4 separate regions of the Mus musculus genome follow, and all the other regions are reported to be linked to region 3. Evidence: microRNA targets listed by miRTarBase, many of them from high-throughput screens and not tested one by one. Region 3 holds a microRNA gene; each other region holds the end of a gene's coding sequence.

The links. Region 3 holds the annotated microRNA mmu-miR-128-3p (UCACAGUGAACCGGUCUCUUU, at 4,315-4,335, shown strand). A microRNA usually pairs through its seed, bases 2 to 8, with sites in the 3' UTR of a target mRNA and lowers its output. Matches are read on the target gene's strand: a 7mer-m8 pairs with bases 2 to 8, a 7mer-A1 pairs with bases 2 to 7 and ends in A, and an 8mer does both.
Region 1: the mRNA of Foxp1 is a reported target of mmu-miR-128-3p. The part of its 3' UTR that is shown has no 7-base or 8-base seed match.
Region 2: the mRNA of Zfp329 is a reported target of mmu-miR-128-3p. Seed matches in the 3' UTR shown: 7mer-A1 at 3,578-3,584 and 7mer-m8 at 6,252-6,258.
Region 4: miRTarBase lists Trem1 as a target of mmu-miR-128-3p. Seed matches in the 3' UTR shown: 8mer at 5,082-5,089 and 7mer-A1 at 4,309-4,315.

What each region holds. Positions count from the first base shown.
Region 1 is chr6:98,923,291-98,931,000 of GRCm38, forward strand. Foxp1 (forkhead box P1) reads right to left here. Exons shown (of 19, transcript NM_053202.2): 19 at 2,052-6,944. The coding sequence ends at 6,800. Among named protein-coding and RNA genes, the nearest start is that of Gm38865, 200 kb to the right of the region's middle.
Region 2 is chr7:12,804,171-12,811,880 of GRCm38, reverse strand. It overlaps Zfp329 (zinc finger protein 329), which reads left to right. Exons shown (of 2, transcript NM_026046.3): 2 at 215-7,710. The coding sequence starts at 286. The coding sequence ends at 1,854. It also overlaps a transcript of Zscan18 not described here. Among named protein-coding and RNA genes, the nearest start is that of Zfp329, 11 kb to the left of the region's middle.
Region 3 is chr9:112,115,269-112,122,978 of GRCm38, reverse strand. It overlaps Mir128-2 (microRNA 128-2), which reads left to right and starts at 4,268; the gene lies at 4,268-4,343. It overlaps Arpp21 (cyclic AMP-regulated phosphoprotein, 21), which reads left to right. Exons shown (of 21, transcript NM_001362020.1): 19 at 3,670-3,796.
Region 4 is chr17:48,243,291-48,251,000 of GRCm38, reverse strand. Trem1 (triggering receptor expressed on myeloid cells 1) reads right to left here. Exons shown (of 4, transcript NM_021406.5): 4 at 4,077-6,455. The coding sequence ends at 6,353. Trem3 (triggering receptor expressed on myeloid cells 3) reads right to left here and starts at 3,272. Exons shown (of 4, transcript NM_021407.3): 1 at 3,107-3,272; 2 at 1,102-1,452. The coding sequence starts at 3,152. All of the region lies in intron 1 of Gm52308 (a long non-coding RNA gene), which reads left to right. It overlaps Gm52307 (a long non-coding RNA gene), which reads left to right and starts at 943. Exons shown (of 3, transcript XR_003952372.1): 1 at 943-1,359; 2 at 3,294-3,725; 3 at 4,901-4,975.

The sequences.
Region 1 (7,710 bases), not on the chromosome of region 3:
GATACTAGGCATGCAGTATACTTTCGCAGTCAATGCAGAAACAGCATAGAGCTGTTTTATTATATATACACATATATGTATATATACAATGTAAGTGTTGTAGAATGGTTTTCTAATACACATATTATCCCACAGTTATCCCAACAGCTTTGCATTTAACTTCTCTGTGATGTGAACTATTCTGTCTTAAAACTTTATCTGTCTAGCACCTTAAATGAAGTTTTGAGGCCCAACTTTGAGTATGGAATACTTGTAACTAAATTGAAAAGCAAAATTGTGATTACTCATTCTATATAAATATGTGGCATTACCAAAGAAGACAACCAATCAGAAAGGCTCATTGCATTGTTCATCCATTTTGCTGAGAGATTCATGTGTATGCCAGTGCTGCTGGTGTTTTATATAGAGCTTAGACTATATATATATATCCCTGTTTAATAGAAGAAGCTGTGTTTTGGGTTAGCTGCTTTATGTGAGGAGCAAGCCTGAAATGAAAGTTTAAGGAGTATTCTTGCTACAGAAAGATTCCTGAAATGCAATTTAAAATATGGTATCAGCTAGCTGGGCCTTCACTACACACCCTCATACTTGCATAGGTCCTGGGGTGTTCTGGTAGGAATGTGTGTGCACAGCTAGCTCACAGTATGTCCTGCAAGCAGCACCTACATTTAAGTCCAGCAATTAAGAGCATCTCAGTTAACCGTGATAGTATATTCTTAGTCGCCAGGTGAGAATTAAAGGCCCCAGTGTTTTGCTAATTATCCGCCTAGGGAGCTCTCAGATGGGCGGAGCCATCATGGAGAAGAGGGTGATGGTTCTTAGCTCAGCAACAACATCTACTTGTTTCAAATGACATCAAGAGGAACCGGGCATGGCAGCACCTATCTATAATCCTAACACATGGGAGGCTGAGGCAGGAGGATTGTTGTAATTTTAATAAGGCGGGCTTCTTGATTTTCCTAGGGGGAATTCTAAACCAGCCAGGGCTACATGGTGAGACCCTGTTTCTCAAAATGAAAAATAAAATCAACCCTAAATAAAAACCATACTGTTGTAGAAAATGTAAAATGTAGACTCACAAACCATGCAGGAACCAACCTTCTAATGCTTCCCTTAACCGGGCAGGTACAGTGATGTGGAAAAGGTGTTTGTAAGGCTGTTATCTGAAAGCTTTATGGATGTGCTTGGAATTACAGACACAGGGCTAAGATGCTGTGGTTTGGCCACTTAAAAGGTTCATTTGGTGGTTGTTTTGAGACACAGGCTATGTCACTTGGCTGAACTCAGTATGTAGACCAGGCTGGCCTTGAACTCACAGAGATCAGCCTGCCTCTGCCTTCCAAGTGCTGGGCTTAAAGGCATGTGCCACCGCATGAGGCTTTACAGTGTTTCTTTCAATATACTACAAGTTAAATTTGTGTTGAAAAACAAATGTGGCTAAGTTCATTAGTCCTTAGAATATGTATGATGTAATTAAGCCCAAGAGAAAAGGCACATTTTTCTAAAGGTATAGAATGAAAAAAAAATCATCTCTACAGGTGGTTTCCTGGGACCTGGGGTTCTCCATTCGGCACTGCTGTCTTCTGTGTGGTTAACCTAGCACACTTTTGATAGGACATTTTTATATAATCATTTGTTCTAATCTAAGCATTTATCATTATATGCAAAGAGCTTTCTTGATGAGAATGCTGTAGATGGTGCGTGGTTTTGACGTTAGCATTTTATTTGGATGACTGATCTTGCAGATGTGAAATGTCAATGAATTATTCATGAAATTGCTTTCCTCTGAAATTTTAGTTTGGCTCTTCATGTTAGTTATTAAACTTTTTTTTTCTCTTTATCAAATTTGATGAAGAAGACAGTATGTTCCCTCTGAAGGAGCTGGCCCCTCCGCCTTTCCTTGGGACCTTTCCTCTGGCCTGCTCGCCGACGACCTTAGTGAGGGCTGGTTGTGAATCTGGCTTGGAAAAGCTGCTAAGAGGCAGCTTGGGGTGTGTGCCTGACCCAGAGCCTCAGCAGGTCAGAAGTGGGGAAAAAACTTAGTCTGTGGCAACTTTGTCTACCAGTGTGAACCACCAGCACTTTTATTGCATTTAAGAATGCGCTCATGTCAGTAATTACTACTGACTACACAACATTTTTTTTTATTGTCTGTGTCCACAGACATGGAATGGTGGAATTACAGTTGATATCAAGGAATGAGATTCTTTTATGTCTTATCAAAACAAAACAAAACGATCCCTGTTAGCGGCAGCACAGATACAAAGAGCACCACACTCACAACCCAGACCGCACCGTCTCCACCCAGGCTCCTGGGTAGCAGGGACCGCTTCGAGTTACAGTGGACCCACAAGACGCCGTTAGAATTGTCCATTTGCTTCTCATGATAATAAAGGAAAACCAAGTTGCAAAACACTTCCAGACTGTCAGGAGGGTATGGCACTGGCCAACAGGTACCAACAAGATTCAAATAGCAGAGTTTGCTTTATGCCCTTGGAGACAGAGAGCTCAGCTAGAATGTGGAAAAGAGAGGAGAGACTTCAATATTGTAACTGAAAAAAATAAATAAATAAAAAGAGCTAGTGATTTATAATGCTTTTGGCTCTATCATTTTGTTTTATTTTTTTAAACCAAGGCTTTCTCTTATTATGGCTGATGAGATGCTAGGAATATGAACTCAACTGTCTTTTGATGTGGGGAGGGGATTGTCAGCTAGGTCACCATGCAGGTAAGCCTAGGCTGTTCACCCTGAGATGGCTGTAAGCCTTCTCACATGAATAGACCCCTAAGCTCATGGAGGGTGGGTCCTCATCAGTGACTGTGTGTGTCTGACACAGGCTGACCTCCCTCACGTTTGCTAATATTTACTAAGAAGAGAAAGAAAAAGGTAACAAATTGTCTTTACACCTTGGGACCTTGTAAAAAAATTTTTTTTATACAAAAAGTTCAATATTTCAACACTCCCCATTATTAATCACTACTTTACTCATAAAACTTTGAAAGTATGAGCCTGGAATTTCATCATGCAAAAATATTGACTGCAGCAAGAGAGAACATTTTTTTTTTTAAACAACTTTTTTTTTTTCCTTTTTTCAAACTTAGGAACTTAAGATAGTCAAGGAGGCAGTGGTATGATAAAACACAAGGACTAGGAATGTATCAAAAACAGTAACACACACTCACTCACACACTCACTCTCTCACCCCCATTCCACAAACCTGTACAAAATGTTCCAAATAATGAGGATAGGAAACACATTTTGTCAACTATGTTACAATTTGAGAGAGAGAGGAGGGGGAGGGAAAGAAAGAGATGTGTGTGTGGAGTTTTTCTTTCTTCCCATTATCAACATGTCATCCAATGTTTGTAAATCAAGGGCAATAAAATGAAGTACACACGCAGCATTAACTGCAAAGCCATTACAGACAGTAGACTTTTTTCCCTCAAAGATACTATTTTCTTTTCCTTCTTCCTCTTCTTTTTTTAAATGTATTATTAATAAAATGCAGTTGCACAAAAAGCAAAGATGTTTTGACAAACAGGTGTATGCATTTATTCCTTTTTAGGAACAATACCTAAAAAATAAAATAATTAAAACAAAACAAAACAAAACGAAACCAAAAAAACCCTCCCCTCGGCCCTCCCCCGCAAAAGACAAAGATGCACACAGACACATCGGGATATATGTACAACCGAATCAACCCCATTCAAACGAAGCGGGAACCCCCCGAGGGACAGAATCAGAATTCTAAAAATCAGAGTGAAGATTGCTTGCTGTAAAGCCTGAGAACTTTTTTTTTTTTTTTCAGTTGGTTCTTCTGCCAGGCTATGACACCTGAAAAGATACATAAAATCTAATTTTTTCTCTTTTATTTATTTTCTTTGCTACAGTCTTTAGACTAAGCATGCAAGACATACGACTAAGTACGACTGAGTGAAAGGTATATTTTTAATTTTTTTTTTAAACTCATTCCCTAAAGGTTTGAACTGAGGTGTGCGTACTAACAGTCCCCATGCTGTTATCTTTACTCTTGTCTAGCTACACATGCTGAGAATGAACTAACCTACCAGAGTTTTATCCTCTTTTGTATATCTAACCAGCAACCACTCAGTTTAGAAGCACAGGGCCCCCTTCCCATGACCCGGCCTGGCTACTGCCTGCACACTGTGAAGCTGCCTGGAAAAGATGGGTGGGGTGGTGGTGGAGGGGGCATGAATAACCACAGACCGCCCCTCTATAGAAAGCAGAGCAAACCTTCAGAAGTCATTGCCAAAGGTGTTCTACTCTAAGCTTATGAGTGGGTGGGAATGTTAGCTTTTTTTGTGTGTAAATGAAAAACACTGACCAAATCATAATCTGAAATAGGAAAAAAATAAAACAAAACATCAACAAAAAGCAGAAGGAAACCAGAGGATAAATGCCAGGATAAACCAAGATTAACGCAGTGATCAGAGCACAGCCCTTAAACAAAAGTGGCGTACGAATGTTCTAAAAATCTCTTTATTCTAGAAGTGGCCTCGAGCGGCCAGACACTTCTCCGTTCTCTCTGAATTCATCCTAAGTGTCTCCTCGATTATATACTAATTTTCAGCATCATACATTCATTTCTTTTTCTTTGAGATGCTAGCCCATTCTTTCCACAGGAGCTATAATACTGTTGTCTTGATTTCTTTTCTCTGCAGTAGCCCCGGATTTTCTCCTTATAGGAGTTAGTTTTGGTCTCTCTACAGGTAGAGAAAAGAAGGAAAGAGAAAAAAAAAAAAAACAGGAAAAAAAAAGTAAAAAACTTTGGTTCCATTGCCTACATAGTCTGCTAAATGAACTCTGCTGACGGGCAGTAATTTCCCTCAGGTTGGCAAATAGCCTGGACCTCATCATTTGCCTCTGAATCCTTTCGCCTCCTTTGATCAACAATAAGAGGATATTTGGCTTCATCAGATAAAGTATAAAAGAAAATAATTTACCTTTGCGTAATATCTTTGGTAATTTTAGAAATAAAAAAAGGTACAAAGTATATAAATTAAGCTCCGAAAGGCTCTCAAACTAAACCCAAACAAAAGCTACAGCCCCAGATAAATACATGCCAGGGAAGCGGGTGCAGACGGAAATGTGGAGGGGTTTGAAGGGCCGAGGGCATATTGACCTAGAGCCATCTCATTCTGTGGGCCCTGGTCTGTCTACCTGGTGTCCTCTTCCGTGAAGTCTGTGCTACTGGGGTGGTGGGTGTGGTGCTCACATTGCAGACCAAGCTGCAGTACCGACTTAGCACACTGGAACCTGACACATTAGCGTCTGCTGAGCTCAGTCCTCATTAACTCCCATAACAAGTTCAATGTGAAGTCTCATTTGCATTAAAACAGATGAATGCCACCGAGCAGGTCTGAACTACTGTACAAACTTAGCCCTGTCACCATGCTGGCTTTTTGGTCATTTTGCAAACAGAGCAACCTGTGCGGGTGAGGATGGCACAGGGCCTGTGGTCCTGGTCACCTGATTATAGGAGGGAAGATCTTCCATGGCCACTGTGACAGTCTAACTATTGAGGATTGTTTATTCTCTTCTGTTTCTTTCGTGGCTGTGTTTCCTGATGCTGAGAGAATGTGGTGGCAGTTACTCACAATGGTGGGTGCTATGAAAAAGAAAAAAAAGAAAAACCTCCAACAGTCCCCCATCCCACCCCCAATACTGTTTTTGTGAAATGAATCTGCCATGTCCCTAGAGTGTGCGCGCGTGCGTTTCTCTCTTTCCTTTTCTGTCATTCATTCTCTTACTGGCAGGATGTCATGTCCCCGTGTGGGGACCTTCAGGTGTAAGGTGCAGCCTTTGGGATCTTTTTTTTTCTTTTCTTTTCTCTTTTTTTTTTTTTGGAAAAAGACCAAAACGGAATGTTTTGTTTTGTTTTGTTTTAAACTTGAGAGAAACATGGTGATGTCTATAGGAAAATGGAATGAGTGCCAGAAAACTACAGACGAGAAATGACATTCAGCTCTGTATAATAAAAACGCCTATTAACATTCATCACAAGGTACAGAAAACGCGAAGCCTCCAAGAGGCCCTGGGCCCAAATGGAGGCCTGAGGTCAGAACTTAAAATGGTAAAGAAGCCAAAAAAAAAAAGAAAGAAAGAAAAAAAAACAGTAAAAGAAAAAAAAAAAAGCAATACATTAAAAAATTTGGGATAATTATTTTTAACCCCTCCCCCCAATACACACACAAAGGCCTTCCCCCATCCCAACTGGAAGCGAAAAACAAAAACAAAACAAACCAAAGTGAGTAAAGGCAGTGGTATCAACATGCAGCGCTGTGCAAAAAGGTCGTCCACTGGAGTCTTGAACTCGGGCGAAGGCTTGGTCTGCAGCGCAGGTACGTGAGCTCAGTCGGGTGTCCTCGGCGCCCGCCCAGCATCAGCCGGGCGAAGCTGCAGTTCAAAGTCTGCTGCTAAAAGTGAATCCGTTTATCGAATTTACAACACTGATGTTGACTCAAAGAGGAAAATCCCAAGTACCAAACAGGTCCATCCAATGCACAGAGTACAAATCCCTTTTGTCAACAAAAAGTAGAAAAATCAAAAATACTCCCAAATGGGATTCTTGATGGCACTAAGAGTTAACACGTTTCAGAGTTGTCAAAATGTAGCGAAAATCCTCCAGACTGTACAAGAAACGGAGGGCGGGTTTCACTGCTAACTTTTGACGTGGTTTCTTTTCTTTTCCTTTCTTTCTTTTTTTATTTTTTTTTTAAATTTGTTTTGCTTTTTTTTCCCCAATCTTCGGTCTCGGGGGTCGGCCCGCCCAGAGGTTCACTCCATGTCCTCATTTACTGGTTCGTCTTCGTAATCTCTGTCATGGTCAAAATCTGGACTGTGGTTGGCTGTTGTCACTAAGGACAGAGGGCCTTCAGCTTCCTCGGGGTCGAGGGGTTCTTCTTTGACGTGTATGGGGTGCCTACAGAGAAAGAGAGAGAAACAGGCTTAGGGGAACACCCGGATTGCCCTGACGCTGGTGTTGGAGCAACCTACAAGAGGTGCTACAGAGATGCCGCCCAGTGGAGGCAGGGTAACCTTGGCCACAACCACAGCCAAAACCAAGTTTTTCAAAGACGGTGGGAAACTTCCTATGACTGCTGGACATTTTCACTGCCTGCAGCCCAAGGGGTTAGGGGCCATATGAGGCCAGGGGCTTCTGTACTGCTCGGTGTATTAGCTGCATTGGTAAGAGTCTTGGATGCTGCTTTAGAATAAACTCTCTATGGAAATCATTTCTCTTGCTTTTCAGGACACACAAGTTACCCAAGGCCCTTGTGACAGTACAGTGTATGGAGCTCAGACTGTGCATTTCTAAGAGATTCCAGGTGATGGGGCTGGTCCCAGGACCGTCCTTTGGAGTACCAAATAACAGGCCCCGTAGTGACATCCTGGGTGGACGAATGCCACCCTGCAAATAATTATGTGAAATGAGAATCTGTAATACGGCAGTGGTTCGTGGGGACCACTGAGTACAGGAGGCTGGGCTAATCATGGCTTGCTGTGTGTTCTGTTTTGCTAGTTAACATGCAGAACCTGTGAAAGAACCCTCCAGAGGACGACCCCAAGCGAGGCTCTATCATTAATCAACTTCAAGCAAACACAGCAAAGAGACACCATGATACATGCTTGAAGCTCCAAATTAATGCATATTTTTACAAACTGTCAATAAGGCAAGAAAAGCCCTG
Region 2 (7,710 bases), not on the chromosome of region 3:
CTTTGACCTGTTTTCTGAGAGTATTACACTGTAATGTCACTTCTTTTGAATCTGTTCTTGGCTTTAGCCCTTGACCCTCATTTGAACTCTCTATTTTACAGATATCAGTTTGAAAAAGAAAACGAGTGAAATATATTCACCCCATTATCAGTTTTCATTTTCTTCCAGATATATCTATGTTTACTTAATGTCTTTTTTGTTTTTTCCTTTTCAGTATGGAACACGAGACTGAAAATAAAAGCTCAGAATGTTCCTGAAGAAGAAAGTATTTCCTTTGAGGTAGAAATGGAGGGATTTACAAGAGAGGCTCCCTGCTTCCCCATTTTAGGTGATAATTGGGACTGTGAGAACCAGGAAAGAAATTTGAGGCAATCTCCTTTAATTGATGAGAAAACAGAGGCACAGGAAGCAAATTGTGGCCATGTTAATTTGGGGGAGCATTTGAGTACAAATCCAGCCCTTCTACCCTCTCAGAGAGTTCCTGGGACAAACGGCTTCCATGTTTTTAACTCAGATATTAAAACTTTTGATTGTGACCAAACCTTACATAGTTGCCCTCCAAGTTATGCAGTTAAGGGAACTGCTGACGGCGATGCTTGTGAGAAAGCCACCCAACCTTCCATGGAAGCCACTCAACTTGTAAGAAACCAAATGAGAGAGAAATCCTATAAATACACAGAAAGTGTTAAATCCTTAAACCACTTTACCACTGCCCTTTGTGATAAAAAAATTAAGAAAAGAAGCAAGAGATTTTATAAAGGTAAGGACTTTGGGGACATCTTAGCCCTGAGCTCATCTCTTAATGAAAAAAGAAGTCATTCTGCTGAGAAACCGTATAAATGTGCCGAATGTGGCAAGTGCTTCAAACGGAACTCCTCTCTGGTTTTACACCATCGGACTCACACTGGAGAGAAACCGTATACCTGTAATGATTGCGGAAAATCATTCTCCAAGAACTACAACTTGATTGTACATCGAAGGATTCATACAGGAGAGAAACCCTATAAATGCAGTAAGTGTGGGAAAGCTTTCAGTGATGGGTCAGCACTGACACAACACCAGAGGATTCACACAGGTGAGAAGCCTTATGCATGTCTAGATTGCGGAAAAACGTTCAACAGAAATTCATCCCTGATTTTGCATCAAAGAACTCATACAGGGGAAAAACCATATAGATGTAATGAATGTGGGAAGCCCTTCACTGACATTTCTCACCTTACTGTGCATCTCAGAATCCACACTGGAGAGAAGCCCTATGAGTGTAGCAGATGTGGAAAGGCTTTCCGAGATGGCTCATACCTCACTCAGCATGAGAGGACACACACTGGAGAGAAGCCTTTTGAATGTGTAGAGTGTGGGAAATCCTTCAGTCGCAACTCTCACCTCATTGTGCATCAGAAAATTCATTCTGGGGAGAAGCCCTATGAATGTAAAGAGTGTGGGAAAACTTTCATTGAGAGTGCATATCTCATCAGGCATCAGAGGGTCCACACTGGTGAGAAGCCGTACGGTTGTAACCAGTGTCGTAAACTCTTCAGGAACATTGCTGGACTTATCCGGCACCAGAGAATTCATACTGGTGAAAGGCCTTATGAGTGCAATCAGTGTGGTAAAGCTTTTAGGGATAGCTCCTGTCTGACCAAGCATCAGAGAATTCACACTAAGGAGACTCCATACCAGTGTCTGAAGTGTGGAAAGTCCTTCAGACAGAACACTCACCTGGTAGTACATCAGAGACTTCATAACAGAGAGGGTCCCAGCCAGTGTCCTCACTGTGGGAAAATATTTAGAAGGAGCTGGTGTCTTGCCCGACATCAGAGAACACACCTTGAAGAGCAGCCCACGGAAACATAATGGACATGGGCCATGCTGTCCTTGAGTGAACAAAGGATTTGTTTTCAGATGTGACTTCCCTTGCTCGCAGAAAAGAATTCTTTATATATATAAAAAAATTAAGTACGAGATATTCTATAATTGCATTAACACTGTTATTAGGGAACTCCTGAAGAGAGGACTGAAAGGTAGTCAATGTAGGAAAGGCTTCAGGGATGATTCAGCCTATACCAAACACGTAGCGCATACACTGAAATAAAGCACCGTCAGCGAGGAAGGCATTTTCCTAGAGACACTCATTTACCTTTACATCAGGATACTGAAACTGGAAAGAACCTGTGAAGTCATTCAGTAGGTAACCAGACATCTTGAACAGTATCACCTTATTGTATGCAAGCAAATGTTTATTATAGAGTCAAAGCTTGGAAGTGTTATTTGGGAGTGACACTTTTGTCAGTTTGTACTTTCCTGTTTCCATAAAGGCGTAGTGGTGGGACGTCTTACACAGTGCTCTACAAACTACCACAGGCTGTAGCTAGGGTTTTCTGTTTGAATGCACTTCTGTTTTATGGTCCCGCCAGAACACAGATGACGCATTTAGTGAGGTGAAACTGGATATAGGACTTGCTTGTGATTGAAATGAAGTTGACCCTCTTAAGACTAAAATACTCTCCGTGGTGGAAAGGGCTGCTTCTAAGAAATAGGATCCATTGCTTTAGGCGTTGAACAAGAAAATATTGAATTGTATTTCAGTTATCACCTGCCTTCACTGTTGTTAATTATTTCAGATACTAGTTTGTGTAGAGTTCAGGTCCTTTGAAGCAAAATCCAAAGGTTTCATTGCCATCCTAAAAATACTCAGATCATTGTAAAAGAAGGCGTAAAAGTAGATTTATTGTTACTATAATTATGGTCGTATTTGGTTGTAGGTTAGCAGTGGAAGATAGAATTAAGTGGCTTCTTAGGAGACTACAATTGTGTTCTTTTTCCTTTTTATTTATACAGTTTTATATAATAATTTGGTAACGTATATAAAAGTGAAGCTAAAAGGAAACAAATTTGGAGTCTCTTAGATCTTTGCCAGTGGATAGAGGCCAAAGATACTGTCAGACAACCTACAAAGGCTAGATCATGGCTACAGGAAGCCATAAGCAACTCCAGGTGTATACTGACAGATGCTTCTCTGGAATCAGAGCGTCCCGAAGCCTAGAATCATTTCTTTTGGAATTTTGGATATAAAGATTATGGCATTGTGGAGGGAGAGGCGTAGGAGTCTAAGGATAGGGAAGAGAAAGTTAAAGAAAAATCTGGAATAATCTTACCATGTCCTTTCCCAGTGCAGTGTTAGCTGACTGAAAGCTCGACAGTTTGGTTGAGAGCTTGAAAGGCCTCTGATTCCTCCTGGAAATTTTGACTTGATCCTGTCTTCTACCTTTTGGTTCCTGTGAAGAGAGAATCATAAGCCTGTTTTGAGATGATTAAGACTGTTGAGTAGATTCATAAGGAAGTTAGACATCTCAGTCTTCTGTATGCATGCCCTTGACAGCAAGATGGTTATCATATGATGGGGATAGAGAGAGAGTGGTAGACAGCACTTGTTATTCTTCCAGAGGACCTGGGTTTGGTTCCTAGCACCCGTATGATGGGAAGGGACTGGTGCCTAGTGAGTAGAGGCCAAAGATATTGTCAGATATCCTACAAAAATAGTCCTTGGAACAGTTATTATCTCAGAATATTATTGAGTACTGTGATTGGTATACACACACACACACACACACACACACACACACACACACCACACAATCATTTGTAGCTTACAGATTGTCTCTATAATGAACAATATTGAACTGTATTTCAGTTGTCACCTGCCTTCACTGTTGTTGATTATTTCGGATACTAATTTGTGTAGAGTTCAGGTCCTCATGTTATGTGTATGAATAAGGCATTAGCAAATACCTAGTGGACTGTCTATATCACTCAAGGGTGCAGCACTTTGGTGTCTGTTATTCTCAAGTAAAACATGCATGTACCATTAGTGTTAGTAGTGTCCCTGCTTCTTGATACTGCATTTCAGATTCTGGAACAAGAAACCTGAGGGAAGCACCGCAAGGAAGAGGTGTCAACTCTGAAATTGTAGTAAGTTCACATGGGATTTGTGTGAGGGTGAACTGTTTCCCCTTGCTCTTTTCTAAACCTAGTTTTCTCAGATGAGCAGGGAAAACTGGTGTAGCGAAAATGACGGCTGTATAGAAGGTGGACACTTTTGACTAAAGGGGGAAAGGTGAGATTTGAGTTGGGAGAGTTCCAGATGACTTCCAGTGCAACCTGGGCAATTTTCAGTCGTAGGCCTGACTGGGGAACAGACAGAAGAGTATAATGGAATATCAGGACAAGTATCCTGTAATCACACAGCCCTTAAATAGGTAGAGAAAACTTGGGCTGGAATCAGATGGAGAAAGTGAATATAGAGTATTTCAAAGACTGAACATTATTTTACTTTTCCTGACTTTGAACAGTGCTTAACTTACTGTTCCTGGCTTTAAGGCTGGAGAATCCACATATGAGTGGCTTCTGAAAGCCAGAGAGGCAAGAAAGTGCATCCTTCCCCCCGAGTCTCCCCAGAAGGAACTATTCCTGTCCTTACAGTCTGTTGAATACCTGATGTGCGGTTTTAAGCCACGTTTTTTTTGTTTGTTTGTTTGTTTTTGTTTTTGGGTTTTTTTTTTTTTTTTTTGTGGTAATTTGTTATATTATCTGTAGGTGATAAACTTCACTTGATAGTTCTTTTTAGACTCCTGACAGAAGTGTGTTCTTTTACCAAGCAAGTTAAGTAAACCAACCCTTTCCACTCCATAGCAACAATTTTTTTTTAAAGGAAAAGAAGACTTATTTTGCCTCTGTTGGCCTCTGTGAGTTCACCACTTTAACAGCCTTGAATTTTATTACTCGTTTAGAGATTTAAATACTATGAATGTTCATGGGCATGGTGGCATACACCTTTAATGCCAGAACTCAGGAGGCAGAAGCAGGTGGATCTCTGAGTTTGAGGCCAGCCTGGTTTACAAAGTGAATTCCAGGACCGCTAGGGGCTACATAGTGAGACCCTGACCCAAACAATAAGAAATAATAATAAAATAAGTTCTGTAAGTAGCCATTTGTGGAAAGAAATCTCAGAAAAGATAGAGTAACTTTCTTGTAACTTTAATCCCATCCCCGTCTGCTTGGTTGGCCAAGAAGGAGGCATATTTCAGCCTCATCAAGCATGTCTGGAGCCCAAGAATGTGTCAGTGCCAGAGCAGATTTTACCTCCAACATGGAGATGGGGAACATTTAAAATTATGCTCAGTGTCTTAACTAGTTAACATTAACCTATATCCTTTTGATTTTCAAGTTATCAGTGCTCAAGTATGCCTGCCTGCAGACTGCTCATCAACTTCATGTCTTTCTTATTTCAGCAACTGTATGGAGTACGTGCAGTAAGAGTTGGTACTGTAGCAGAAGGCAGAACAAGGTGTTTGCAGTTCAGCAGGGGAGAAGAATAATTGCACAGCATGTATCAGATGGTGGTTGATGCCTGAGAGAAAAGTAAAGCTGAGAAAGGGGATGGGGTGTCTATGTTGGATAAATATGATTACAGTTTTAAAAAGCTTGATCATTCATTTCCTTTCCCAATGAAAGGCAATTACATGTGTGATATGTAAGGGGTATGATGTCATGCAACAAGAGGTTAGGATTTAGGGATGAGAAACCTTCCACCATGTGAGTTACAGGGAGGAACAAGTCAGAGATGGAACGTCTTCATGAGTCACACACAGTTAAAGAAATGGCTTCATTGCAGAGACAGGTATGGAGAACAAAGCTTTGTGCAAGGGTAAACCCATTTACAGGAAAACATCTAATCTATGATTCTGAAGATAATGGTTTCAGAATATGAACAATGAAGTCCTAGCCAAAAAAAAAAAAAAAAAAAAAAAAAAAAACCAAGTAAATAAGTTTATACTTGTATCTATGCTTTAATAACCATAGGTATTCAGCATTAATGGTCATTTCTGATAAAATAGACTAGTGTTCAAGTTTTTAAAATTAAAGGGACTATTCAGTGGTTCATGATATTCTCACAAGTTGAGTCACTTCCATTCTGTAATTTCAGGACATCTTTCTTTCTCTCTCTTTCTTTCTTTCTTTCTTTCTTTCTTTCTTTCTTTCTTTCTTTCTTCCTTCCTTTCTTTCTTTCTTTCTTTTAGATTTATTTATTATTAAACACAAGTACACTGTAGCTATCTTCAGACACACCAGAAGAGGGCATCAGATTTCATTATGGGTGGTTGTGAGGAAATTTTTCATTATCCATAGAAAAGCCCTTTGTACATATTAGCATCCTCCCATTCCTCTGACTCTGTCAATCACCAGTCTCTTTTCACTGTGCATTTGCCAATTCTTTACATTGCAGATCAATGGAAAAATAAGACATGTGGCCCTTTGTAACTTCATTTCATTTAGCATAATGTTCTAAAGGTTCATGTTGTATGTTCAAGGTCCTTTTTGTGGCTGAAAAATATTTTGCCATATGATTAAAACCTTATCTTGCTTATTGGTTGATGGACATTTCAGCTTCCTTTTTTTTGGCTACTAAGAATAGTGCTGTCCTAAAAACATACAAACTCATGTGCCAATAAATTTTCAGTACTCTTGGGTAGATGCTTAGGAGTGGAATTGCTGGATCTTTGTTTGCTTTTTTGAGGAAATGATGTTCACTTTACGTTTGACTGATGTATGACTACTTTGACTTCTTCATGTCCTTACCAATATTAATTTATTTTTTTTGCCCTAGTGGTGTGAAGTGTTTTCTTGTGGTTTGGGGAAAATAATTTATATAGTTAAAATCTATACCTTATCCCACAGATCAGCATTTTTTTTTTCTGCAAGGGAAAAGTTGTATTTTAAACTGTGTTCAATATCATTTCCGCTGCAACTACTCAGCCACCGATGACTGTAATGTGGAAGGAGCTATAGATGATTTGTAGGCAAATGTGTGTGGATGTGTCCAATAAAGTTTTACATATGGACTCTGATTTTTTAAAAATTGTATTTCACAGTGAAAATTACAGAAGATTCAGTTTCATTTTTTAAAGTAAGCCAGACTGGTGGTGCTTACTTGTAAATCTCAGCGCTTAGAGGCAGTAACAGGATGATTGCCACAAGTTCCAATCAGCATGGACTACATAAACTCAGTTGCAAAAACCACAAAAACAAAAAACAAAACAAAACAAAACAAAAAAACCCCAAACAACCAAAAGACAAAACTATAATAAAATACTCTTTGTCCAAAACCACAAGATTCGGAGTAGCATTTATCCAGGGGCTATAGTTTGATAGACAAACTATTTAAATGGAAAGGCGGCTTGAAGCTTCTAGTTGAGAATATCAAACTTTTTTTTTTTTTGTCATCTTGGATAGGCAAACATTTTAAAGTGAAATGGGTATCAGAGAAAGGTTATAGTAAATTTAAGAATTCATATGCATCAGAAAGTCCATATAAGTGAAATGACAATAAAAAAAAGAGACCATTGTAGCTCATAGTTAAATATGTTAAGGATCCAGCATCTCAAAGATTAAAAAAATAAAAAAAACCTCATTGAAAATGTGCGAAAACGCTTTGGTTCTGTGCCGTTTTGAAAGAGGAAATTCAAATAGCCAATAAATTCATGGCAGTGTCCAAATTCATTACATGTTATAGAAATCCCAGGATACTGTAGCTGGATGAATAGTACAGGTGTTGACAGGTAACTAGTTGATAAGCAACTGCATTTTGTAGTCACCTGTCCTGTCTTCAAACCGAACTCTCCAAACTTAAGAGTCAAAAGATGAAAAAACTGT
Region 3 (7,710 bases):
GGCTAAGAACAACCTGAGGGAGGGGCATTGAGTTTCCCAAATATGTCCATGGGCTCAGCTCACTTTCCTTCCCCTAGAGGACTGGAGGAATGGGATGGGCCAAGTGCCCATTAGTGTCTGAGTGTCTGATGTCACCATTCCTAAGGACTAAGTAATGGCACACCACGGAGAAGGGCCAGGTAAAGTTGCCCAAATCTTTGCTAAGCACAGAAAGAAATACAATTTAAGGGGAAGAACAAGATTAAACAAACAGAAACGAGTAGCTTCTAAAATCTACATATATCAAGTTTGACATTTTTTTCCAAATTATGAATGCTCATTAGGAACTTTTCAAGTATTGGCCCTCCATTCTTTACCTTTGAAGTGTTTCTTGATTAATATTCTATCCTAGAAGACTACAGAAAAGATAGCACGGGCTGGTGAGGCCAATTTGATCATTAGGCCCATATGCTGGAAGGAAAGAACTGACTCTCACAAGTTGTCTTCTTACCACTATACCCATTCCATGGCATGCAGAGTCCCACATCTATCTCCACATTCCCACAAAACACACTTATGTATACACTGAAATAATAAGTAGTTTTAAGGAATGGGCATTGTAAACACAGAAGTGGATGCTCACAGTCAGCTAATGGATGGATCACAGGGCTCCCAATGGAGGAGATAGAGAAAGTACCCAAGGAGCTAAAGGGATCTGCAACCCTATAGGTGGATCAACATTATGAACTAACCAGTACCCCGGAGCTCTTGACTCTAGCTGCATATATATCAAAAGATGGCCTAGTCGGCCATCACTGGAAAGAGAGGCCCATTGGACATGCAAACTTTATATGCCCCAGTACAGGGGAACGCCAGGGCCAAAAAGGGGGAGTGGGCGGGTAGGGGAGTGGGGGTGGGTGGGTATGGGGGACTTTTGGTATAGCATTGGAAATGTAAATGAGCTAAATACCTAATAAAAAATGGAAAAAAGGGGAATGGGCATTGTATTTATAAGCTTATATGGAAATAACACATAATCTTTTTCCTAAGGTACAAGCCAGAATAACAGATGCGCACATATAATGATAATAGATAGTTCGGAGGTACTTGTACTTGTTCTTAATATTGTAGGGCATCTATGTAATATGTAATATGTAATAGCGACTTTTAACTGTATCAAGAAAAATTTCCAGAATAGATCTAAATCGATTTGCTCATGAATTCTTTATGTTTTTAGTTTTTTTGAATTGAGATTATCAAAAGGAGAGAACAGACTAAGGAGATGATACAGCTCATAGCATGCTTGGTAAGGCAGCATGAAGATCTGGGCTGGGACTGCTAGCACCTGTAAAAGCTGGGTGTGGCTATGCACATCTGTAACACCAGAACTGGGGAAGGTCCAGGGTAGAATCAAGCAGGTCCCTAGACTTTATTGACTGCCCAGTTTAAACAAGCTGTTGACCTGAAAGCTGTTGACCTGAACGTTTAGTGAGAAACCCTATGCCAAAAGTAAGATGGAGGGACCAGAGAAATGACTCACGGGTTACAGATGACCTGGGTTTCAACTACCAGCACCTACACAGTGGTTCACCACTATTCATAATCCCAACTCCAAGGGATGTGATTTCCACAGACAGCAGACACGAGCAGAGTTAGGGTGTACATACACACAAGCAGGCAACACATTCATACATGAAGATTAAGACAAATAATCCTAAAACGTAAAGTGGAGCTGCTGACGAAGACACCCAACATCACACTTTAAATGCACACACACACACATACACACACACACACAATGAGAGAGACAGAGACAGAGAGACAGGTTAAATGACCACAAATAATGAGTGCAATTAGTAAATGACTGATTGCTAAGCAATGAGGCAGAATAGTTCTAGGCTCTCCCAGCCCCTTCCCCTCGGTCATCTACCATACTAGAAAGTGAGAATACAGTTCATGTTGATTCCATGGCATTGCAAAACCACAGCCATACAATGTTTTCTTTGCTTCCACCTTCTTCCTGAGGTATGGGAACATATTATACACTCTAGTAGCAAGAGGGAACACTAGTATCTTATGATATAATCAAATCAAAAGATAAAATAGGCATAAAAATCAGAGCTATAAGATAATTAGTTCACAATCTTCTTCTATACACACAACTTGTATACTTTGGAGTATATAGTGGATGGCCACCTATTCTCCCTTTAAAGATGAGAAGAGAAAAGCCAGAGGCCTGAAGACAGAAGGAGTTAGCTGAAATGAGTAAGAAACTAGCATCACATAGCATTAATAGGTAGGCAAAGATGTCTTCTATATCAGGAAGCATCTGATCTCAATGGGAAGGGTTAGGGTGTTTTCACTGGCTGTCAGTCATTAAACAGTAGACAGAAGGCTGGCAGGCCTGAGGGGTGTAGACCTGTAACCCCAGCATCTGAGGAAAATGAGGTAGGAAAATTGTGAATTCAAGACCTTCCTGAGCTACAGAATGAGTCAAAGTCTTGGCAACTATGCATAAGACCGTCTTAAACTTCAAAATAAAAGGATCTCCAAGAATGGCTGGGGAGATTGGTCAGTCAGTAAAATGCTTACCATGCAAGCATGAATACCTACCTGCATTCGATCCCCTACATCCACATTAAAAAGCCATTCAGAGTGGCTCATTTTGTAATCTCAGAGCCAGCCGGGCAAGTGGAGAGAAGTAGAGTCCCTGGGTTCCTCTTGCCAGCTGACCTCACTGATCAGTAAGTTTCACGTTAATGGGAATCTTGTTTCAAGCAAACAACATGAATAGCACCTGAGGAATGACACCTAAGGTTGACCTCTGGCCTCCACACCCATGAACATGTACACACACACATACATACACACACATACATACACATACACACACACACACACACACACACACACACACACAGAGAGAGAGAGAGAGAGAGAGAGAGAGAGAGAGAGAGAGAGAGAGAGAGAGACGATGCCTAGGGATACAGCTTGGTGACTAATAAGGGGCTTACCCAGCAGGCACAAAAGCCTAAATTCAGTCCCCACTACTAAAAATAAGTTTGCAGAAGATACCTACACAATATCTTAACATAGATCCATTTATATTACATATGCTGCAAATTTTGATACAGGCTATGTATAAATCACTCTTTGAATCTTTGGCAAGACATCAAGTGGCCTTTTGCTGTTCATGACACAGTCACTAAATGGGCCCGACTCCTCCCAAGAAGTTCATTTCAGTTCCATATGGTACTGACTGGAGCACCTGACCCAGACTGTGCTCAACATCTGAAGATTGAGGGGCCAGTCAGCCAGTCAGCGGGGAGGGGAGTCTCTGTCCTCCTAACACAGCAGGATAGATAGGTGTTTCCCTGGAGACTAAATCCTCTGCCCCTGCAGTGGGGTTGCAAATCTCCTTAAAGTTCCGGTATGGGAATGGCAGACATCACATCACTTTTGCCTCTTTGCATTGATCAAAGCAGGTTCCTCGGCTTTAGGCAGGAGATAGCTCCCATCAGGGGAGAACGAGCCTGCACATTGAAACAGGTGTGAGAAAGGATGCTCATGGCCCACCTTCAACATCTGCCACAGTTAATGACACTGTATCGCAACAGTGGGTTTTATGTGAAAAAATATGTTTCTTGTGAACAGCTCTCATCTCTGTTTCTCTCTCCTCTTGTCCCACAGATGTCCGTCTATTACTACCCATCTGGTCAGTACCCTACCTCAACCTCACAGCAGTACCGACCCCTCGCCTCAGTCCAGTACAGTGCTCAGCGGAGTCAGCAAATACCACAGACCACACAGCAAGCAGGTACGGGAAATGTTTCCTTTCAGTCCTCCGGCTTGGTTATTTTTGATGGTGAATTTCATAGCTGTACTTACTGGATGAATACCCAAAGAGAAAATTTAAGTCACATGTTTCCCCTACCCGGGGAAACTAGCAAAGCAATTGATTCACTCTGTGGGAAACTAAAAGGCGCGAGGAGATGAGAGCCTATGAGCCTGCGCATGCTCAGTTGTTCCCCAAAGCTATTTTTACATCCTCTGAGTTTATTTTAAAGCAGAGAAACAAGCGCATCCCTATCTTCCAAGCCCAAGTGCTTTGTTGTTTCCTTAGTCCTTAAGGGGCCAAATTAGGCTGTGTTGATACTGTCCTAAAATCCAGCGCCGGCTTTAAAAGAAGGCTCCTGACTATGCAGCGTGCAATATTGGAACTCTGACTCCATGTTTTACTGCCACGAAGGCCACATGCCTGACACCCAGAGCCCCGGCAGCCACTGTGCAGTGGGAAGGGGGGCCGATGCACTGTAAGAGAGTGAGTAGCAGGTCTCACAGTGAACCGGTCTCTTTCCCTACTGTGTCAAACTCCTAAGGAATGCCGCTTCCAGAGAGCAGCAGGCGCCCAGCAGGGCTAAGGGAAACGCCGCTAGGCAGAATTCCCTGTCAATCCGGCCGACCAAACTGCAGGGAGAAAGTGCTAATTGTCATGCTGAAGTCTCTGCCTCTGTAAGTAGGTCACACTAAAGAGCTCCTGCTGCGGCTCTCCGAGAACGCCTGCTCTGAGGTCTGAAGTCTGCGATGGATACAACCGTACAGGAATGCGTAATATGTGCAGATACACGTGGGTGACATGGATAAGATATGTGCCATTTTTACAAGCTAGAACAAACAAAGAAGCAAACAAACAAATTTACAGTCCTTGCCAAGGATTTAGCTACAGGCACAAACACCGCAAGAACTCCAATGATGCTGATGCTGATGCTGATGCTGATGCTGATGCTGACGCTGACGCTGACACTGATGCTAAAGCTTTGCCAGATCCAAACTGGAGACAGAATTCAGTTCTTCTGCACGTGGCCATGTGTTCTTAATTTCATTCACCACTGGCCCATTTAAAGCCGTTTGAGAGAAATTAGAGGAACCTATGAGAGCCAGTTTTTAATCTTGTTTAAATGCTGTATTTCTCTGGGACCTTTGAGTGACCCTTGTACTTTTATAAAAGTAAGGACAAAAGTGTGTGAAGTCATTTTTAAGGGAAAGCCTTCGACCTTGCATTGTGCAATTGCCAGGAAATCTGCAGCTTGTTGGTAGGGACTGTGCGGTTCCTTCCATTCAATCCTACAGGATAGTGCACTTGCATGTGAATGGTCCCGTCTTTGTCTGCCTTTGTATACTTAAAGATTATTCTTTAGCACTGTGAGAAAGCTGAGCTGGTGGCCCTAATTTGATCATCAGAACCCAGGTCTAACATAAAGGTGTCTGTGTGATGACTTGGGTTTGTAATCCCAGCCCTGGAGAGACAGAGACGAACTCACTGAGCCCGAGGCTCACTGGCCGGCCCGCCTAGCCTACTGAACAAACATCAAGCCAGTGAGAGAGCCTGTCTCAAAAGCCAAGATGTGCAGTGCCTAAGGAATGAAACAGCTGTCCTCCAGACTCTACACATGCGTGTCTACCTACACATACACCACCCTTGCACTAGTGTGCAAACGCACACCCAAAGTTACCATTTAATCTCACGTACCACAGAGAAGGTTGCGTTTGAGTCAGGAATGCATTAGGAAGAAACATGATGCAGGTCATTAATTCTACTGATCTCACATGTATCTAGTGTAGTGTCTGGGTGTGACTTTCAGAATTCTAAAGAGATATTCCACGATTGGGTATTATAGTAGAAAGGGGGTGTGGCTACAACAATGTAGGAACCTGATAAGTGCAGAGTCTGTGTCCAGGTCCCAGAGCCCCAGAATTAGGATTAGAGCAATCACTGGTAACACCTTGGCCATGCCTCCTCTCCTCTGTCTTTCCTTATGACTGATGACATATGAGAAAGTAGCTGCGATGTTTTCATTCTTTTATGAGGTGTAGTGGGAATATTGAGAGACACAGAAATCCCTCCTGCATCCCTGGAACATACATGTAGATAATCTCAGCCACATAACTTGGCAACCTGGTGTCATGTAGGACCATGGATATGCAATCCCCTAGGAGAGTTGGTAACCGATGTTTTATTATTATTATTATTATTATTACAAAGAGTAAATCCTATGGAAGGCTTGTATTCAGAGTGGGGACAAGGGCAGGTTCCACGTGTCCAAGCCATGGGTGACAGTCATTGTGGTCTGAGAGTAAGAGACAGGAAAAGGGAAATGGTTCAAGAATGGCGTGGTCCCCAGACGTGCCACCAACAGCACACAGATACAGAATGAGATCTTTGCCCTTCCAGGTTTGATGATTGCACCTGACACCTGGCCGACAGTCCCAGCAGAGCTTGCCCTACAGAAAGTGAGTTTACTGTGGATTAGTGAAGGCAGATGGTAGCTCAAAGTCACAAAGAATCCTGTGCTGATAAAATCTAACTGTGAACTGTGATGACGCGAGTATGCTCTACATTCTGGAGGAAGGATGACCTACGGCCTAGTGAAAACCAGCAGAGTTTAAATATGCCACAGTGGGGTTATTTATGGGAATGTTCCAGTAGTTGGACATTGTCCCTTTAGATGGTTGTTACAGTTGTGTGTTCTGGCCGGGCTGTGCAATGCCACTCCCACCCACACCCCCTACTCCATCCTCATCATCTTTACGGATAAACTCTGGTCTAGCTGACTCAAAGCCACTCTACAGATATGCTCTGTCTAGTCTTCCTGCTCCAATCTGGGCTATCGCATACTAGAGCATTTTTGTCCATTAAAGTCAGTGAGATTTATCCCCACTCTGTTCTGAAAACTCCCTGCCACTTGTATTTAATTGTAATAAAAAGCATCTATCTCTTCCACGTTCTTGGCAGAGTTGATCCCCTGTCAGGTTACAATGCCTTGCCTAGGCCTTAAAACTCCATGTAAGGTCTTGTTTTTATCATTTTTCCCATTCACGTGTTTGTGTTTGTGTGTGTGTAAATGCATATGTTTATGAATACACATCTGCATGCGTGTGGGCAAAAGAGTGTGCAGGTAAATGCGGCAAGCAGTGACTCAAGGTTAATGTTAGGAATCCTCTGTATTCACAGATAGGGCTAGCCTGAGTGGCCAGTGTTCTCTGGACTCTATTTTTCAATGCTGGAATTACAGACAGGCCCCCTTGCCCACCTGGCATTTACTGGGGAGCTGGGGATCAGAACACTGGTCCTAATGCTTGCCCAGCAGGTGTTTCCCCCACTCTTATCTTCCTAGCACAGACAGTGGGTTTTTATAAAGAAAACCAGAGTCCTTGCAGCTGGTGAATGAGCAACTGAGCTCGTGGATATTAGTCACACCAGGGACAAGAATCTTCCTCTTGGTGACTTCCTTCTGTTTGCTCCATTGATAGGCAATACTAAAATTAAAAATCTCCGCCTGACGATAATGATACACGAAGACCAGGGATAGTAAGCAGTTTTGGAGAAGCCAAAGGGGATATTTCCAAAATGATATTTGGATCTCACAGTTATTTATATTGGAAATTATAATCCTTTATTATAGAATATCTCCTATGGGAAATGTTCTGTGCACATTTGTAAATGAGCACTTGAGAAAAATCTGTGTTTGCCATTTGAGCAACACTGGCCTTATAAAAGAGACTGAGAAGTGTACCATCCCCTTCTGGTTTTGTTGTTGTTGTTGTTGTTTATTTGTTTGCTTGGGGGGTTATTTTTTGATTATTTGTTTTGAGGAGACTGTGTGAGTTTAGAGTTTTATTTTCTTCAAATGTTGACAGATTTTTGCTTAGAAATGCTTTTTCCTATAGGGT
Region 4 (7,710 bases), not on the chromosome of region 3:
TAGCACATTACTGGTTGTCTGTATGTAAATGCTTGTCCTTCCTCACTAGCCCAAAAGATGAAGGTCAGGTAGCCCTCAATGCCTACAGGCAACCTAAGATGTGAACGGGCTTTGTCTTGCCGCTGATTGGTTCAGACTGGAATATGGTTCCATATAATCGAGAGCTGGCAGCTGGATCTGGGGCAGGAAGTGTGGGGGCGGGACTTCAGGGCAGAGAGAAGAGTTGCAGGAGCTGTAAAGCGATGGAGCAGATTCAGGAGAAACAGAACGAAGACAGAATGGAGATGTAAGCAGGCACTGAGAACCACACAGGGAGGCAAGATGTCGGAAAAGCCAAGGCTAAGTTAGAGAGCTAGCTGAGAGACTGCCCAGCAGAAGGCCAACAGTTTTCAACGATGTAGAGGTCTCCATGTCTTCATTATAAACCACAAGTCAAATCCATGAAAGGGAGCAGGTGGCTCTCTGACTCTTGTGCCTGCTCTTGGGACTCTCTTCCTCCTGTTGGGTTGCCATGTCCAACTCAGAGATAGTTTTTCTTTTGTCTTATTATGTAATATGATGTCATATATATATATGTTATCTTTGGCAAATTTAAAAAAACCTAAAATCTTAATAAGCAGGTATCCTATTGTTCAAACTAGGCCATTTCACAATTGTACCAGGGACTTTTGAGAGGGGTGGGCCTGTGGGGGTCCTAACAGCTCGATGATCTGCAGGGGAACACAGTGAATGACCGCAATCCTGAGTCCTCCTGACACAGAGAGGCAGTGGGACAAATAATCAGCCGCAGGCGTGGCTCGTGACAGTTACCAGCTTCTCTTGCAGATTTCCTGACGTGGAAGTAGATGGCTTTTGAGTTCACCACATCCAACGTCCTTGTCTTACAGACAATAAATAAATAAATAAATAAATAAATAAAAAAAATAAGGCACAGAGAATGTGACTTTCCTGGTGTCACACTATGGAAGAAGGAAAGATCTAGAATCCCCCCCCCCCCATTACCCTGAGCTGCCTCCTTAAAACAGCTCCTCCTGGAAGATAGGGTCCCTGCCCCACTATTGAGCAGGAAGAGACTCCATCTGAACGTTCACCGGAGCTCACCTTGACACCATGCCAGCCGTATCCGTTGACGCAGAATGATAACATTGTCAGGAGAGAGGTAGACCACACACTGGTACAGCCCCACATCTTGCCTCTGCAGCCCAGTCACCGTGACCTTGACGACAGATTCGGTGGGATAATCCTCCAGCAAGTACTTCCCAGCCCTGGCCACGTTGAAGTCTGCCTTTCTGGTGTTTGTGAGCACCAGAGTCTCTGGAGAACCGTGGCTTCTGACCCGCTGCCAGGCCTTCAGGCTCAGTGAGTATAGCATGATGTTGTAAGGACAAGTCAGGGTCAGGTTCTCGCCCTCCAGAAAACACTTGTGTTCTTCCTCATCTCCAGCTTGGAGTCCTGGAATAGGAGATACGTGTTTCATGGAGCCAACTTGCCTTCTGCTCCAGCCACACATTGCTGGGACACTCATGACCCCAGCAAGCATGGCAGGGGAATCTAGGAGCGCTGTAACTATTCCAGAGCTCTTGATTGCTCTATGTGTGTCTATATCAGTTAAGTAAACCAGGCAAAATATCCAGAACAGGTGATTGGATCTAAGCTGTGTGTTTGCAGGGAAGACTCAGTCTGCATCTTGTAGAGTGGGAAATTTTTATATTGAATGATTACAAAAGAGCTTTACCAGATTGCATCACCATTTCTAATTCTAGAAACATGTGTGTATGTGCAGGCAGCCATCCACCATCTGCCTTCCTGCCTTTCTCTCTCTCTCTCTCTCTCTCTCTCTCTCTCTCTCACACTTTTCTGCCTCTGTGTCTCTCCATGTGCATCTCTCTGTGTGTCTCTTTCTTTCTTTCTTTCTTTCTTTCTTTCTTTCTTTCTTTCTTTCTTTCTTTCTTTCTTTCTTCCTTCCTTCCTTCCTTCCTTCCTTCCTTCTTTCCTTTCTTCCTTTCCCACCTCTCTGTCTGTCTCTGTTTATCTATTTCTGTCTCTGTGTATCTCTTTGTCTTTCTCTCTCCCCACTCTTTGTTTCTCCATCTCTCTCCTTCTCTCTCTCTCTCTCTCTCTCTCTCTCTCTCTCTCTCTCTCTCTCCCATCTATCTGCCTCTCTATCTTTCTCTTGTACCTCTCCCCTACCTCTCTCAGCTGTGTGTCTCTATGTGTCTCTGTCCCTCCCTCCCTCCCTCCCTTCCTCCCTCCCTCCCTCCCTCCCTCTTTCCTTCATTCCAAGATCTCACTTTGCAACCCAGGCTGATCTGAACTCAACATATAGCGTAGACTGCTTCAGATTCCCCACAATCCTGCCTCAGCCTCCCGACTGCTAGGATGACAGGCATGTCCCACTATTCCCAGTTCTCTATTGTTTTCTGTTGTATGTCTGGTGGCCCAGACATGGCCGTTCCTGCCTGGCACACAGAACTTTCTGTTTATTCCTTGTATCCTTAAGTAGAAACCCCCTTCAACCCCTGTCCATCTGTCTAAGGGGGGCATCCACCAGACAGTGCCAACTGCATTAATCTTTTTATCCTTCTTGGTCTGTCTTTCTTGCCATGGGTGGGTAGTAGGTTACACTACTACCACCATGACATATTTTATGATGTATTTACTGTGTGTGAAATACTGAACCATGAGATTTCCATCAACCTGTTGGTTAATTTGGAGGATATATTTCTTTACCTGCCCTTTATGTTGCTCCGTGGTTGATTGTTCCTTTAAGGGAGATTTGCCTCCCTGGTTTTACCTCTAGGTGAGAATCAACACATCGCAAGAGGGTTGCCTGGTTACCACCACATAACTTTCTCTACTTCAATATGTCCAAGAAGAACCTCCAACTTGTTTCACAGCCCACTCTCTGCTGCATCAGGAGGGATCACCAATGTCTCTGTCCATCTCTTTCTCAATACTGACCCATCTCTAACATATACCCTGGTCTCCACCCAGGCTGTCTTGAGGAACATAAGTACACTTTTAGCAGCTACCCCCCCCCCCCCGGCGAGCTTCATCCCTCTTGTTGACACCCTGTCCTCTAGCTTCCTCACCTGCCTCTCCTTACCCGAGACACAGAGCATCAGCCCCAGCCATAGCAGCAGCGGTGACATCCCCCAGGTCCCTGCCTCCTCTGTATGAAGCTCCTTCCTGGTGTGCTAACTGCCAATGGCCCCAAGGCAAGTGGCCAAATCACTTACAGTTGCTGGAGCATGCTTCCCCACATAGAAACTGACCGACTTCTGCTCTCACAGGTTCCGCTGTTTTGTCCCATTGAGAAACACCAAGGGAAATGTGACAAGAGGAAGCTGCCTTGGGAGACACAGGAGGGGGAAAAGGAGAGAACCCCATTTTTTGTGACACCCTCCTTCCTCCTTTGATGCCACAATCTGTTGAGAAACGCTCTGTGGCTGGCTGCCGTTCTCTGCCACACCTGAGGTCCCTACACTGTTCCACTCACTGCCTCTGGATACCAGAACATTGTCATATCCACGACCCCTCACACCGTCCTCCCCAAGCCAAGGAGGCTGAACATTCGGATTTGCTCACCTCCCAAAAGCAGGAGACAAGCAGATGTCATTATTAGACATCATTCACTTTGTTTTTCTGACACAGCATCTCTCATTGGCATGAGCCTCACCAAGAAGGCTAGGCTGCCTGTCTCTGACTCCCGAGGGCTGGATGATGTACGTACACCACACATCTGGTGTTTTGTATGTGGCTTCTGGGAATCAGGTCCTTGTGCTGCTGTGACAGGCACTTTACCAACAGAGGCCTCTCCTCAGCCTTTGACTCATCTTTCATCTCATTGTACCCATAGTTCTCAGTGAGACCTCATAGCTGGATCACTCAGGAAGCTAGGCATGCACAGTCACAGCTGGGTTCTACCCTCAGAGGCCCTGAATTCACAGGCCTGCAGAAGGACTGGGAATCTGCGTTTTAACAAGCGGCCTCGGTGATTCTGGCCTGAGAATCCAACTAGACCAGCTACCTCAGGACACGGACACTGCACGACACTAGAACACTCACCACAGTCACAGAATCTCAACTGCTTTTATTTTATTTATTTTTCAGTTTGGGATGGGATTTCACAACAAAGTCCAAACTGTCCTTGAATCCTCAGGCCCCTTGCCTTAGTCCCCCAAGTGCTGGGATCACAGACATGTGTCATTGTTCCAGTTTTACTCTGATGCCCTGGGAAGGCACCCTGACCCCACCCCCCAAATACAACAACAACAACAACAACAACAACAACAACAACAACACAGGTCACAGTCCCTTATTGTGGAGAAGTCGAGGCAGGAACTTAAGCACTAGTCACATCATATCCATAGTCAAGAGCAGAGGATAAACTGGACCCTTGGGGTCTGCCTGCTTCTGATCAACTAGGCTTCCTTATTTTTATACACAGTTGGGACCCAGTGTATGAAGTGGCACCAGCCATATACAGGGTGGATACTCCCACCTCAATTAACAGCGAAGGCAATACAGCACAGGCATGCCTGCAGGGGACAATTCATCAACTGAGGCTCTCCTCCAGGGTGGTTTCTGGACTACTGCAAATTGAATAACCTAAGAAATATGACAGTTATCATACAACGTGTGTGTGTGTGTTGTTATTGTTTTTTTGTTGTTGTTGTTGTATCTGAAACAAGGTCTCTCACTGACCACAAGAGGGTCTCTAACTAGTCACTAAGCCCCAGAGAACTGGCTGTCTTGGCTTTCCCAGTGCCGAGATTATAGGTATGGCCCGCCCTAAGCAGCTTTTTTACATTTTGCTCTAATGGCTTGAACTCTGGTCCCCAGGCTTTCTTGGGAAGCATTTTAGCCCCTGACTATAAACCCCTGCTTGATTCTTCAGTCAGGAAACAAACCTACTGAGATGAACAGCATCTGCACCAGCCCTCCAAAGACGTGTCCCAGAGCACCAACCCAAAGTGGATTCCACTGCGGCCTCTCCCAGCAGACTGGAGATTATGCAGCTGTGAATACCCTGTGCTCAGCGATGCCACCCCAGGGTGGAGTTACACAGAGAGCCACGTTCACAGTGAACCGTCCTTATGTGACAGAAGCACACCTTAAGACCTGGGATCTTCACAGGAGGTGGAAGGGAAAGTCTCCCTGACAGGAAAGTGCTTTCCTGATATAAGATACGTGGTTCAGCCACTCCTCGGCCTTCTGGGTGCGATCAAGTGAGCTGGATGCTTTGTGGTGATGCGGTTTGATCTTGGGAACCTTTCGATGAAGTTGATTCCAGCCACTGCTGAAGTAGAAGGAATGGATCTACCATCCTTTTCCCACCCAAAGAGGTGGAAACAAGCAAATGCCAGTGTGTCCTAGAGAAAGCACAGGAGCCACAGGGTACCCAGGCTGAGACTGAGAGGTGAAGGAAGGTGAGTGGGAGGTAGACTCACACAGGGGGCAGTCTGAGATAGGATCCTGCCCCCCCCCCCCCCGCCATGCTAGACCCTGTCTCAGTCCAGGCAAAAAGGCATTCAGCTAGCAGCAGAGTCTGGCTCCCCATCTCCCTGCCTCTGGAGCTCTTGAGTAAGGGAACTCTCTAGATTTCATTCCTGCCAGGAGGTGATGGCCTGCTACCCCTGTGGCCTTACTCTGATCACATACACTTTAACCCTCATGCACTGAGAAGTCAATAATAAAATGCACACAGCATGTTGATGCCATCCATGTACTGATTCAATGCTACGGATACTATCTCTTCCAGGTGTTTCCCAGGCAACAGCATCCAGCTTAACTTGATTTCTCTCTCCCAGTTGCATTATTGTCAAGGTAGGATCATGTCTTCTTGGTCCATGGTTGGGAGTGTTCAGAGGACTACAGATGAAGACAGAAATCTGAGTGTCTGACTCCCAGAAAGGAAGGCCCAGAGGTAGGAGGACAGGCTGCTTCATGAGCAAGGGCCCTGCTAAAATGACTAGAATTGTACCATCCAGGAGAAGGACAAGAGGTGGGGATATCAGTGGTGACCATGTAATCTTCTTGACTCCCACAACAAGAGACAGGGGGAAGCTCTGGAGTTTCTCTTTATTTCAGGCCAACCCAACTATTTAGGGGGAATGGCCAGAGTGTTCTGGGAATGGTTTCCCCTTTTCTAAGGGTGCAGAGCACATCCCCAAGATGATGGATAAAATGAGGAGAGTGGACAGGGTCAGCTGAGGATATCCTGAGCCTTAGACGTCACCGGTGATTACAGGTTCAATTCATGTCATAGCTCCTCCTCAGCCCCACCACCTCAGCTCCTCCTGTGAAATAGACACCGCTGAAGGTCACTATTGTATAGCTTCAAGTTCTGTCATCCAAATGTCCTCTTTGTGACAATGAATAAGATGATGAAAACCAGGCTCTTGCTGAGAAGTCCACAGATGACTGAAATAGTAACACTGGATGTGGAGACACTGTGGAGAAAGGGGGTTGAAGGTTGGTGCAATGGACATCCAAACCATGGAGTAGAAAATTCTTCCCACACAATTTCAACCTAGGTCCTTCCTGCAGCTTCCCCACAGCCTCTGGCCCTGTGCCATTCAGAGGGTCACTTCCTAGAATAACCAATTAGACAGTGGAGAGTATAGAGCTCAGGTCTAGGAGATGCATAAAGGAGGAAGGGCTAACGCTGCATCTTGGCCTTCTCTGTGGACTGAGTGAGGCTCACCTATAGGGTATGTCACCTCTGTGGTCAGCATTCTGACCCTCTTCTGGGGAGAGTCACTGAACCTTTAGCTTCATTTCTCCATCCAGAAACCATGAAGACCCCAACCTCACTGACAAGCCCTCTTTGGATTTGTCATAAGTTTAGCAAAATGTTTCTCCAAGATCCAGGTTGAGAGCAACAGATGTAAGAAAGAGACACACAGAGGAGAGAGAGCCCTGCCTGACCCTGGGCAGATAGGGAAGTAGAAGAAGATGCACAGACTCTGCATGATGGGACACAGAGACAAAAGCAGCACACGACAATGAATCAGACAAAAGCAGCATGGAGTACTAATGACATATAATTGTGTGTGTGTCGGGGGGGGGGTGTCTCTGCAAACCATGGGCAGCAGAATTTCCAACTGCATGAGGAAAGAAGGAAGTCTGGATCTACCAAATTCAGTAACTGGTGTTAGTTGAAACTTCTAGGGTCTGACCCTGAGCAGTTTATTTTAGGGATACTTAACTATAGCACAATTTAGGGAAAAGAGTTCTCTGATTGTAATTAACTCAATCCTATGTCTACAACAAAGCTTAAATAACATTATGACATTGAAACTCTTTTCAAAGTACAATGACATCTTCCATGAAGATGGGTTCTATTGACTGAGAAACAATGCTCAAGATAAGGATCTCAGGAGAAAGTCAGAGATTAAAAATAAAAGTCAGGGTGGAGGGAGGGGACAGCCAGTCAGGTGTGATGTAACCACATAGATTGTGAGGGCAGAGGTCATCATTCCCAGATTTTTGGCAGAAAATAGGCTTTTCATCTCTTCCTTTGAAGAGACAACATTGCATGCTTAACAATACTGCTTCCCCTAGTGCTTATATGTAAGTACAAGGCCCTCATACCCTCTACATATAAGAATTTAATGGCGAACAAAGCCAGACATGGCTTATGCCAATAATTCCAGTATTGGGTTGGCCAAGGCCAGAAGATCACAAATCTGCAGCCAGCATGGA